3 linked regions of the Oryctolagus cuniculus genome follow. The protein of the gene in region 3 purifies or fractionates together with the protein of the main gene of each other region. This does not show direct contact. Links are inferred from orthologs where the notes say so. Each region holds a gene or a part of one and is shown on either strand. Other genes may lie near its edges. The genes, in order: DCUN1D3, CUL2 and CAND1.

Region 1 (4,262 bases), on a different chromosome or scaffold from region 3:
GAAATGCAGTAGGTCAAAGAAGGAATGAGCAAGAAGTGAGGGAAATAAGGGTTTTGGATAAATTAGCTTAAAAGGGAAGTTATCACCAGACTACACAAACGCTCTTGACTGGCCTCAGCTCCCCAAGAGCTCTAAACTTGTCTGGAAATTAATGCAATGTGGTTAACAGTTAACACTGCTACTCAAAATCTGTGTAAATCTTTAAAAATAATTATTACAACCTAAATTCAACCATGTAAACAGCACTACACACAGTACAGACCTGCCCTGAAAAACAGTATGCAAAACTGAGATCTGGCACTGTATCATTTTGTAATGTTAATTCAACCGAACAGTCCCATTCCCCCCACCCGGCTCTATACTGGCCCCCACCAAAAAAAAAAAAAAAAATCATCCAATTTGTGCAAGAAATGGCAGACTTATTCTATCTGAAGGCTTCAAAAAAAGATACACAACATGTAGCCAGGTTCAAATATTTTGGGGGATTACCCCCCCCAAAAAAAAGAAATAACCAAAATAACCAAAAAATGAAGAAAGTGCCTAAAACATGATACAGCATTTTAGAGCCCTTTCAGATACAAGGCAGAGAAAGGTGTAAAGTAGAAAATATCCGGATCTTCAGTAATTTCCAGAAAGGTCCAATTCCTTGGTTGGCTGCAGGACAGCAGGCAGCTCTTTGCTGCTGCTCCTGGGACAGAGCCACTAAGTCTGCTCCTCGGGACACAAGCCCTCGGGCCCTGAGCTGAGTGCACCTCTCCCTTCCCCTTCTCTTTTCCTTCGCTCCATTTCCCACTCCACAAAGGTATCAAAGAGACTTGGCCAGGCCTCATCTTCACTGTAGTTGCTGAGGTCGGGGCCAATCACCTGAGTGAAGTTAAGGAACATGTTCCAAGTGTCCCGGGAGATGCCCTTGATCCCCGAGGGGTTCTCTGTTAGGAAGTTTAGCCACTGGTCCAATACTGGAGGGTTGTTTTGAGTGAAGACTAGTTTCCACAGGGCAATGGCTATTTCCCGATGCAGTGACCGCTGCCCTTCTTCAGAGTCCAGGCCAAACTGAAATGTAAACCGGTAGAGATCCTTGAATTTATCCTCCTGTTTGGCTTCTGTTAAGAGGCTAGGGAACCGCGCACAGATCCCGTCAATGCTGTCTGCACTTATTGCCTTGCAGCCATCGAAAAACTCCTTCCTGCAACAGAAAGAAGGCACAAATTAGTTATAACCGATATTATTTACCGAGGGCAACAGAGTATAGTAATCAAGAGTATGGCATTGAGGCAGGATGGCCTGGATCAAATGCCAGCTCCTGCACTAAGTAGTCCTCCTTCCTCATCTGCCAAGTGGTGAGTAAATGTTACACCTCACCTTGCAGGGTTCTGGTGAGGGGTAAACACGTTAGCACGAGTACCGAGTGTTTCCAACACTGCCAAGCACACGGCAGGCAGCTAGTCCCCTGCCTCCTGCTGGGTCTGCTGCCCTGCACTGGTGATGAGGTTGCAGCCTCTTTCTCCTCGATGGAGAAGCCTTCCTGCCTCCCTTTCGATTCTCTCTGGGTTGTTTTGGTATCTTTCTGGTGACAGCCAAGAGACACTTCTGGAGCCCGAGAGGCAGGATAAAATTTAAGTCTGCCACCAGAGATAAAAACTGTGCTATTAAATAACAAAACTTGCGTACACATATTTAACATCTTTGTAACACTTCCAGCTGACAGCACGGTTTCCTCTCTGGGACTGCTGTACCCACCAAGATTAGGGAGTCCAGGTCTGGAGGGTAAGCTACCTGGGGGCATATAGACTAGAAATGGCTTGGCCAGGTCTCATAACCTGCGCTCAGCAAACCACCCCTTGGGGTGACCCTGTCACGTCTTCACCCACAAGCAACTTCTACAGGGATATAAGACCACAACGACATGAAACTGCTGCTTGATAACTGGGCCACCTGTCCTTGTTTCATACAGGTCTGGCTGAGGGCAATACGGTAAGGATGAGAAGGGACAACTGGGCTCACGGAGTGGCAGAGGCACATCCCTGGAGGTTCTCACTGTACTGGCACACACAGCACCTGCCACAGGACGGACAGTGAATTCTCAAGTACCTCAAGATTCCTATTGAGTGGGTCTGCTACAGAGTCAGGCACTTACTTTTTTAAACCCTCAGAGGAGTCTTGGGAGGGAGGTGGCAGGGGGAGGCCTTCTCTGGATCAGGAACACAACTTAGCTCAAAACATCTGCTTTTGAGAAACTGGTCAGAGCACAAGGATTTTCCCTTCCCCAAACCCCATGCAGCTGACCCAGTTATCCTAGCTGAGCACTCCTGCACAACATTGCTCCGTTTCCTCCTCTGCTCACCTGGTAACATGAAGTATTTGTAACTAACCTGGTGAATTTGCACATGGTAGCAGCCTGGAACTTCCAAGCCAAGAGCAGCACTCGAAATTCCGTGGGGTCGACACATAGGTCATTGCAAAAGCGTTCCATGCCTTCTTCCAAAATTGCATCCTCCCGCTCGTCCTTGTAGCGCCTGAACAGTTCTTCCAACCTCTGCAAGGAAGACTCTTCAGCATTGGACTTGGACTCCCTCCCAGCATCTCCCGAGGACGTTGGCAACTGGCAGACCTCAGTGGCAGCCTCCGCCTTCTTGGTCCCATTGACGAGGATATCCCCACCTGGCTTGCCACAAGGTGGCACCTGTTCCTCACGGTGGCCTGCACTTCGCCTGCTGTGTGATTTGCTGCTGGAGTCCCGGTCTCCATTCTTGCTGCCCAAGGTTGATGAGGGATTCTTGCACTTGGTGACACACTGGCCCATGGTGCTGGCGGCCTGGCCTCTAAAGTGGCCCCCTCTGGAATGGATGCCCTCGCTGCCGCTGGCCCATGTACTTCAACATGCCATCAGCCAGAGGAACCAGCCAACCTGGGAGGAAATTGGAAAGCAGTCACCTCTTGAACACAGAACACAGGGCATGGGCGGGGGCACCACCCTCTGGGGACTGCTTCCTGGGGATCACTGCGTTTCAATGAGCCAACAAGGAATGAAGGGAGATCACCTCCCTGATAAGCCAGCTCTGTAACTTGCCTTGGAAAAGCAGTGGCTATGGCACATATGGAAAACCAATATGGGAAATTCCTAAAATTCTTAAGGTAACAGGTTACAAAGAAGCTGATTCATGTGCAGAACACATCAAAGACCACAGTTCTGCCAAATATTCCAGAGGAAATCTGTCTTGCCAATTCATCATCATGCAAAAAATTTATGTGGACCTGGATTAAGCCAGAGGGTACAAATATAAGGTTTATTTTCTAGTTTTTAACACCGTCACACTCAGATTTTCTTTTTCCATACATGGGATTAATAGAGGGAGGGAGTGGCCATACCCAAAACAACTATAGGGTCTCACAATAGCTTAACAATGAGGTAAGGGATTTGCAGTGTCAGGCCTGCGAACAAGGGCAGAACCAAACATCAAAGTAAAGTTCATCCCTGATCTCTCCAGATCCCTTTCTGGGCCTATCCCACATAGCAGGTGTAAGGCCCTTTCTTTGCTCAGCTACGGAAGCCATTCACCATCCCTGTACTCCAAGCAAAGTCTCCTAACCTAGGAGCTTTTTTTTTTTTTATTCCCTCCCTTTTATGTCTTTAGTGAGGCTGTACAGAATGCATGCCAAGTTCTCATTAAACATGACAGTCCTAGCAGGCTTCTAATGGGGTATGTGTCTCTGCTCTAAAGGACTGATTTGTCTAAATACGATCTTCTAAAAATGGTAGGATATGGGGGCAGGAATTGTGATGCAAAAGGATAAGCCACTGCTTGGGATGCTCACATGCCGTCCTGGAGTCCTAGCTACTCAGTTTCTGACCCAGCCTCCTGCTCCTGCATCTTGGGAGGCAGCAGATGATGGCCCCAGTGCTTGGGGCCCTGCCACCCCCATCGGAAAGGGACCTAAAGGGAATGTAATTTCTCTGAGACTACCCTGTCTATCCAGGGCTCCTTTTTTTCTTACGTGTTTATTTTTATCTACTTAAATGGCAACAGAGACAGAGACACAGAGATCTTTCTTGTGCTGGTTCACTCCCCAAATGCCCACAACAACTATGCTGGGCCAGGCCAAAGCCAGGAACCTAGAAGTCCATCCAGGTCTCTCCATGGGTGGAAAGAGCCCAAGCACTTAAGCCTCCCAGGCACTTAGGCTGCCTCCCAGGATGCATTAGGAGGAAGCTGGATCAGAAGCAGAGATCCTAGGACTCAGAACTGGCACTCTGCCCTGGG
Region 2 (3,510 bases), on a different chromosome or scaffold from region 3:
GAGGGACCAGGTTGGGGAGCTGCACACAGGACATCAGCTGCTGTGTGGCTCTGCTGGCAGGAAGCCTCGGGAGTGGGCAGTGTCACAGGAGGAGGTGGTGTTGGCTGACTGTCGCTGGTTGCAGTTTGTATCTGGGTGATGACAGTGGTTTGAAAAAGACCGTCGCGTGCTTACCCGCGTTGTGAAGGTGGTGAATTAGAAGGTTACGGGGCAGATCCTGCGATCTGTGTTGTACCAAAGTTTAGCAGCTGTAGAACTGGACACTTCATGGGTAGGATATAAATGGTGTCCTGAGTCATTAAATAGCATTGATTGTAGTTGATTTTAGGAGATACTAGCTTCACGCGCCAAAGTCCTAGAACCTGCCCTCCGCACTTGGAAGTGGGTAGGCTGACCTGAGAGCGCAGCCTTCCTGCTGCTTTCTGGGTCTCCTCTGGTTTTGGCCTTTCCCTGGCCTCCAGTGGGCCTGAGGCTGCCTGAGGCCAGCTCTGGAGATGCGCAACTTCCCCCAAGTTAGCAGACTTCTGATTCTCCCCCAGTCATCCTCCCTCCCCCCTCAGCCCCACATGCCACCTGCAGGTAGTTTAACAAGCACAGTAAAGTCACTCGCACTGTGCTGTCAATGACTGATACGTGTAGCCCTTTAAGGGTTGTTTCTATTTTATTTTGGCCAAAAGCTCGCTGGCTGAAAAGACTCCCGGTTGATGAGTGGTGTGGTGAGCACCTTTTTAGCTGAGAGCCCTTCTTACCCACTACCCTTGCTTCTGTGACTTTGGCCCAAGCTCCTGGCTTCACAGGGGGCACGGCAGGAAGGACGCTGGGTCTGTGCCAGATCACCGACAAGGTGTGCAGGAGTCTGTCCCCTCCCAACATGAGCTTCTCGTGCCAGGGCAGGCTCGGGTGTCCTCCAGATGGTCACATGCACGCTGCTCCCTGGCCAGGCAGGCTCAGGGACTCCAGGGGCAGTCCCATGGTGCACGGGTTACAGGGATGCTGGATGTCGTGTCCTCTGTTGGAGTGCCTGGGGTCTGTTCTTGGCTGTGCTCCTGGTTCCAGCTTCCGGCCAGTGTGTGCCCTGGGAGGCCGCAGGTGATGGCTCAAGACCTGGGGTCCCTGCCACCCACATGGAGACCTGGATGGAGTTCCTGGCCCAACCCTGACTTGTGATGCATTTGAGGAGTAAGCCAGCGGATAGAATAGGACTTCTCTGTCTGTTTCCATCTTTTTCTGTTTCTCAAATTAAAGAAACTCAGCTACATAGCTTCATGCAGTACAGTGATTCCAAGCTGTACGGGCACGTTTCATTGAGCCTTGTTGTAGTTTTGTTTTGAAGTAGGAATGAGTTCTTAGTGTTAACCAGTCCATTGTGTGTAGCTCAGAGCTTTTATATAGGCTAAGATTTAATAAAGGTTTTGATTGACATGTTTGATTATTACTAAATATATTTTGACTTTGCTAATTTTCTGGAGAGCTTTAATGTGATGGTTAACTAGCATGCACATGGGTTTAATTTTTTATTGACTTGTAATACTTGTGCATTCTTCTGGGATACCACACTCTGATCAGTCTGCAGTGAGCATTTCCGTCGTGCACACACTGTGTGTTCCCACTTGACAAGGAGGGAGCGCCAGGTCAGGTTGTTGGGTTGGCGCCCGTGGTGCAGTGTGAGCTGTCCCTCTTAGTTTGGTGAGTAGTCACACGGTGGGGACTGCTTGTTCTGGTTCTTCCTGCTGCAATGCAGGCTTCTAAAGGCTGGTCCTTGTTCATGACTGTGATGGAATGTAGGTGACAGCCAGCAGCTTGAAGGAGAATGTGAAGTGGTGTCTAGAACATGGGTCTGGGCTGGTTACAGAAGCCTGGTCGTAACCCGTGCTGGGTCTCAGTGGCCCATTAGAAGTTGGCTGCCTGATGGCCTTGGTGCCATTACAAATTTCTGTTCATAGTAAAACTTAGTAGTCCATGACCATAAAAATATTTCCACAGGTTCTAGGTAGATTAAAAGATGAAGAAATTCGGTGTCGAAAATACTTACATCCAAGCTCCTATATCAAAGTGATCCATGAATGTCAGCAGCGGATGGTAGCAGACCACTTGCAGTTCCTGCATGCGGAATGTCATAACATCATTCGGCAAGAGAAGAAGAACGGTGAGTCCCATCAGAGACCCGCAACAGAAAGTGAGGCGTAAGCCCACCTCACGGGTGGGGTGCGGACAGCAGGCAGGTGGCCTCGTGGGACACCCACATCCCGCATCCGAGTGCTAGTGCAGTCCCCACGACTCTGCTCCTGACCAGCTCCCTGCTGATGTGAGCCCTGGGAGGCAGCAGTGGTAGCTCCAGTGCTTGGGCCCCTGCACCCCATTGGAGACCGGATGGAGCTCCTGGCCTCTGGCTTTGGACTGGGACAGCCCTGGCTGTGTGGGCATTCGGGAGTGAACCAGTGGACAGAAGATCTGTCTTTGTCTCTCTGCTTTTCAAATAAAATGAAAGTAAATAAGTATTTTAAACTCAGTTTTATATCATCTTCTAGCCACCATAGATTGAAAGCATTTGTTAATAATAGATTTTAAAATGTTTGATTTACTTTTTAAATAAATTATTAATAGTGTATTTTGAAAGATTATTCTGAAATATTTTGTTTTCAATATGAATCCTAAAGTTAGAAAAAAAAAAAAACGAGGAAAGTGTCTATAATTTTAAATGTCACAAGGACTAATTTCCTTAATATGTTCAGAATTACTTATATAAACAATAGGAGTAAAGGCAAAGTCTGTGAAAAGGAAATAGAAATAGACAATATAGAACAGTATTCAATCTGACTCAAAATACAGGAAATAGAACATTAAAATACACTGAGAAACTTAGAGTGAACAGTGGAAAAATGCAGTCTCTCAGATAAAGAAAAAATGGTTTGAAGAATTACCAGGCAGCACAAATAAACCTAACAAGACATGCTTACCTTTATAGAAAAGTGAATACTGTTAAAAAGCCACATCGACTTATGCATGCAGGGCAATCCAATCAAAACCCTGTGACTTTTCCTTGTAAGATTTTATTTATTTATTTGAGAGTGAGACAGTGAGAGGGAGAAACAGAGAGAGAGGTCTTCTGTCTGTTGGTTCACTCCCAAATGGCCACAACGTCCGGAGCTGTGCCGATCCGAAGCCAGGAGCCAGGTGCTAAACCCCCGTGATTTTTAGCAGCATTGATAAGCCAGGATGGTCTTGAAGAGCATGATGGGAAAACCGCAGTAGTTAAGATAGTGGGGGGTGCGCATTTGGCCCAGAGGCTGAGACACCTGCATCCTGTATTGGAGTGTAGGTTCTATCTATACCTGGCTCTGGCCCCTGGCTCCGGCTTCCTGCCGTGGGGACAGATGGCCCAAGTGTTTCGGTGCCTGCCATCTGTGTGGGAGACCTGGATGAGGTCCCTGGCTGCCGGCCTCAGTCCTGCCTGGGGACCATTGTGGGCATCTGGGGGGTGTGGTCCAGTGGGTGGGAGCTCTCTCTGTC
Region 3 (4,253 bases):
AAATGTTGTGTATATTATACAAAAGCATACACGAAGGCAGACCAGAGCAGCGACGGGCACTTTGGATACGTATTGTGAGGGCAAATCACGCTTCATCTGTTTTATTAACTGCTATTATCCGTACCTGAGTCTGACCTAGAAGACTCAGTAGCATTTGGTGAAAGTGGGAAAGAACGGTAAAGAAATGCCAAACCGGATTTGATGTTTTGGAAGTAGGATGCCCTTTCTAAAGGTCTGTTGTTGTCTTTAAACAAAATCTCTGACCAAGGTTAATTTTTCCTCTTTTTTAAAAGGCCTGCCAGCTAAATCACCCACCACCTCAAACTCAGATTTTTACGTGTGGACCCCTAGCTGGCAAATATTATCTGGAAAACTCCTAATATGAGGCAGATGAAACACTTGGATGGTATACAATGGCTCGGATAGCTCATCTCCGATGGTTGTGCTTGTACGTCTGAGGCAGCGACGAAATACTCAGCTGAAAGATCAAGTCACGAAAGCTGACGTACAGAAGATGGTCCTTTAGCTATTTCGGACAGAACGCGCAGGCCCACTGGTCTTTTACTAAAATTGGGCCGCCATTAGAGAGCGCGCTCTGCACTCCCGGAAGGAGTGCGTTAACCAGCGAAGTCGGGAGGCCCAAATGCCTCTACAGAGGCAAGGATTCGTGCAAGAGGCCGCCACTGGGTCTCTGCCAGGGACACCAACCGGACCGCAATGCGCCTGTCCGAACCGCAGCCGCCTAGCTCGGCAAACGTCGCCAACGAAGAGCGTGTGTTCACAGTACGAACCCGAGGCGGAAACGGAGCGGTGATTGAAAGGTCGTCCCCAGCACGCCTCCCGCGCCAGCCTGCAAATCCCAGCATTCACTCCTCCCACAGGAGCCAATGAGAACGCTACAAGTTCCTGCAGCCAATCACATCCCGACTCAGCGTAGCGCACGTTGAATTCTGGGACTTGTGGTTTTCACGTGGCAGCTTCAGTCTGGTGGTTAAAGGCAACAGGCCACGCGTCCGATTCAAAACGAAAACTCCCTCTTAGAATTCTTTATGGTCTCCAGGCTGTCCCCTTAATCACCATAATCTCCAGGCACTACACGCCTTTAAATTAGTGAACTTTTTATCTTAATGTCATACAGATAAGAAAATCAAGTATTTTCAGATTAAGGCCCGTTTGTAGCTTCCGTCCCTCGTCCTTTAACCGTCACCCTGAAATCTCGCGAGAATAGCCCCCTTCAGTCGTTGTCATGCCTCCTGGGAGGCGGTCCACGAGAAGACTGACATCGGCCTTAGCCAACAGAATTGCCCTTTAACAAGCGTCTCAAGCGTGCGCGGGGAGGCCTCCGTGAACTCTGACTTCGGCTTTCCGTAGCGTCCTCCGCCTGTCGCCCCGCCCCCGGAGCGAAGGAGGCGGGTTTTGGCCTCCTGCCCTAGCGATCGAGTGCGGAGGGAGTGGGAGCTAGACGGCCCGAGTGGAAGTGTCTGGGTCCCGGGAGAAGCCCTGCTGTGCGCCGTGCCGCCCATGAGTCCGCTCTCCCGCCAGCAGCGCGGTCGTTAGCCCAGCCCCGCAGCCTCTGCTTCCCCCGGGACGGGCCCACCCTCGCCGCGGAGGCAGCCTGCCGAGGCGCCTCCCTAGTCAGCGTCGGCGTCGCGCTGCGACCCTGGAAGCGGGAGCCGCCGCGAGCGGGAGGAGGAGCCCGAGCGGCGGCGGCGGCGGCGGCGGCGGCAGCGGGCAGCAGCACCAGCGGCGCCGGCGGGCGGGATCGGGGCCGTCAACATGGCGAGCGCCTCGTACCACATTTCCAACTTGCTGGAAAAAATGACATCCAGCGACAAGGACTTTAGGTGAGGCCGCAATCTGACCCTCACCCCACCTCGGGGGGCCCCCCGTCCGCGGCCCTGGCCCTCACGCAAGGCCCTGCCCCACCCCTTGGGCCTTCGCCGGCTTCCTCGCTTCACCGCGGCCGCCAGCCCGCCGCTCGGCTGGCTCCCTGATCCCGGGACCCCCCCCACCTTTTCCTCGCCCCGCTTCCAGCCCCCTCCCCCCTTCTTGCCTCGAGGCCGTTGCCACAGCCATCCCTAGGCCCCTTCCTTCCTGGCCTCTAAGCGCCCCCGCCGCAGGCCCTGACCCTACGGACGCCATCCTCGGCTCCCAGGTAGCGCCGAGGGGCGAGAGCACCCACCATTGTGTGGAAGGGGAGTTGCTCTGCGGCCGGGCCCGCGCGCCGGCCTTGCCGAGGCTTTAGGCCGCCCCGCTCACGGGGGCCCCCGCGGCCGCCTCCCTGGCTCCCGCAGGCTGGGGTCGGCGCAGCGATTCGCTTTGGTCGAGCCCTTCGCTGACTGAGTTCTGTACTTTTTTTCTTTGCATTCTTTTCGGTGTCGGAGCGGAGAAGTGGGGGAGGGGAGCCTGAAGGCAGAGACTTGGCCAGGAGGGTTTTCCCGCCAGCATCTCTTGTCAGTTTCCGTCGTCAGGTGAAACCCACGCAGGGTCTCGGGGTTTCAGCCTCATATGCCTACATCCAGAGTCCGAACGAGCCGGACCTTCCTGGAAGGAGTTCTCTGACACGGGGCTGGGGAATGCGAAGCTTTATACAGCAGTCTGTTTCAGGAGGCTTGTGCTGTTGCTTCCAGATTCTTGTCACATGCATGTTGAAGACATGCTGTGTTTTCACAAGTTGATTATCTGTGGGCCTTTTTTTTTTCCCCTCCTCGCACACTGCATTGATTGTTGCATTCCTTTACAAATAAATACATATGCTCTGTCTCTCACAAACATGCTTTTTTATTTCTGCACCTTCAGTTTTACACGTGTCATTTATGTGCATTTAAAAAGAACGAGCAAGTAATCTTCAACTAAGTTATAGCCAGTTTGTACGTGTTGTCTGAACAGGACGTTTTAACAGGAAAATGGGTCCAAACTCAGCCGGCAAGAAATGTTCTAACTTGGGAAAGGAGAGCCATGGAAAAAGCAATAATTGTGATCCTACTTAGATTGATGGTGTTTGTCATATTAAAATGGTCACTGAAGTGCAGTTTTGGTTCTGTGGCTTCAAAACCACATGCTTTTGGAAAAGTTTTGCTACCTAGGGAGTGTAAGTGTTGTGTCTGAAACTTAAAACCAGTTTGTTAACCTGAAAGATTTTGGCGTTGTTACTTTTTGGAAGTGAGGTGCTTGTTTTGGGTAGTTTGGAATTTGAGATGTGTGTAGTTGGAAGGGCAAAATCAAGATTATTGGGTGGAAAATAAAAGTTTTATGTTTTAAGAATGAGGATGCTGTTTGATTTCCTTTGGAACTTTGCTTGCTCCCAATTCCAGTTACTGAAATGGAAATGCTTGAGTGAGACTTGGATGTAACTTTCAGCCATGGAAAATCTGTGCTGTGTCTCTTCCTGCTTCTGTCAGTTTGTCTTATTCTGTAGAAGAACTGATCTATTCTTATTGTTTTTCATTTCAGTCTAAAGGTAGCACTTTCCCTGTTGTGCAGTTTTAACTTTACAGAATCCTATGTGGGTAATATATTTAGAAATACTTAGAAGTCATGTCATGTGGTGATACTGTACAGATAGATGTCTGTTGACTGAAGCCAGCTCTTTTCAATTTCTTGCAAAGGAAACATAGTATCAAGGTACTTTTAAGAGTTGTGGAAAATGGAATTAAAAGACAAGTTTATTCTGCTGCAAAAAACTTTTTTTTAATCCATGCATAGTTTTTTCATAATATGCATTTTCTATGAACTTTTTGAAAACCTTTGTGTAGGGTGTATGTCCCTGGGGTTTGGTTTTATTTTGTTTTAAACTATGTGAAGGAAGTAACAATGTGTGATGCTACTCTGTAGTTATTGCTGAATTTACTAAGAATTTTCTACTGATTTGGGTTGGAATGAACCAGAACATAGCTTGACTAGGTAGTGTAATATTAATATATAATAGTTGGTGAATGTTGTAGAAGCTTTGTTGAGGAATAGTAAGCAACTTCCAGCAATTTGACATCCCCGAGGTGTTTTTAATGAACTATGTTGTAAAAACTGTTTTGTAATGTGCTTCAGTTCACAGGCAAATCTTTGGAAGCTGAGGAATTTTTTGTATTAAGTTACAGATTTAAAGATTAATTGAAGTAGTGAGCATTTAAAGTAAACAGTTTTGAAGATTTTTCTGCCTAATTTCAGTATGGGTGTTTATCTTGATACAGTTGTTCTTTTTTAACTTCTTGTTAGAAATTTCTTTATTTTGGTATAAATAGCACAGATGATGATGA

Evidence for each region.
Region 1: the proteins of CAND1 (region 3) and DCUN1D3 purify together in Homo sapiens (affinity purification with western blotting; 3 studies listed by BioGRID, with this or other methods). This does not show direct contact. The link is inferred for Oryctolagus cuniculus from reciprocal best matches to the Homo sapiens genes CAND1 and DCUN1D3.
Region 2: the proteins of CAND1 (region 3) and CUL2 purify together in Homo sapiens (affinity purification with western blotting; 7 studies listed by BioGRID and IntAct, with this or other methods). This does not show direct contact. The link is inferred for Oryctolagus cuniculus from reciprocal best matches to the Homo sapiens genes CAND1 and CUL2.

Annotation. Positions count from the first base shown.
Region 1 is NC_091450.1:18,308,814-18,313,075, reverse strand, and holds the start of DCUN1D3 (DCN1-like protein 3), read right to left. Parts: upstream 2,804-4,262; coding exon 2,373-2,803; exon of another isoform or gene 1,965-2,372; coding exon of another isoform or gene 1,955-1,964; exon of another isoform or gene 1,187-1,954; coding exon 703-1,186; 3' UTR 1-702. UniProt on the Homo sapiens protein: Contributes to the neddylation of all cullins by transferring NEDD8 from N-terminally acetylated NEDD8-conjugating E2s enzyme to different cullin C-terminal domain-RBX complexes and may play a role in the cell cycle progression by regulating the SCF ubiquitin E3 ligase complex, after UV damage.
Region 2 is NC_091444.1:107,487,811-107,491,320, forward strand, and holds part of CUL2 (cullin-2), read left to right. Parts: intron 1-1,983; coding exon 1,984-2,146; intron 2,147-3,510.
Region 3 is NC_091442.1:69,618,227-69,622,479, forward strand, and holds the start of CAND1 (cullin-associated NEDD8-dissociated protein 1), read left to right. Parts: upstream 1-1,444; 5' UTR 1,445-1,776; coding exon 1,777-1,844; intron 1,845-4,253. UniProt on the Homo sapiens protein: Key assembly factor of SCF (SKP1-CUL1-F-box protein) E3 ubiquitin ligase complexes that promotes the exchange of the substrate-recognition F-box subunit in SCF complexes, thereby playing a key role in the cellular repertoire of SCF complexes.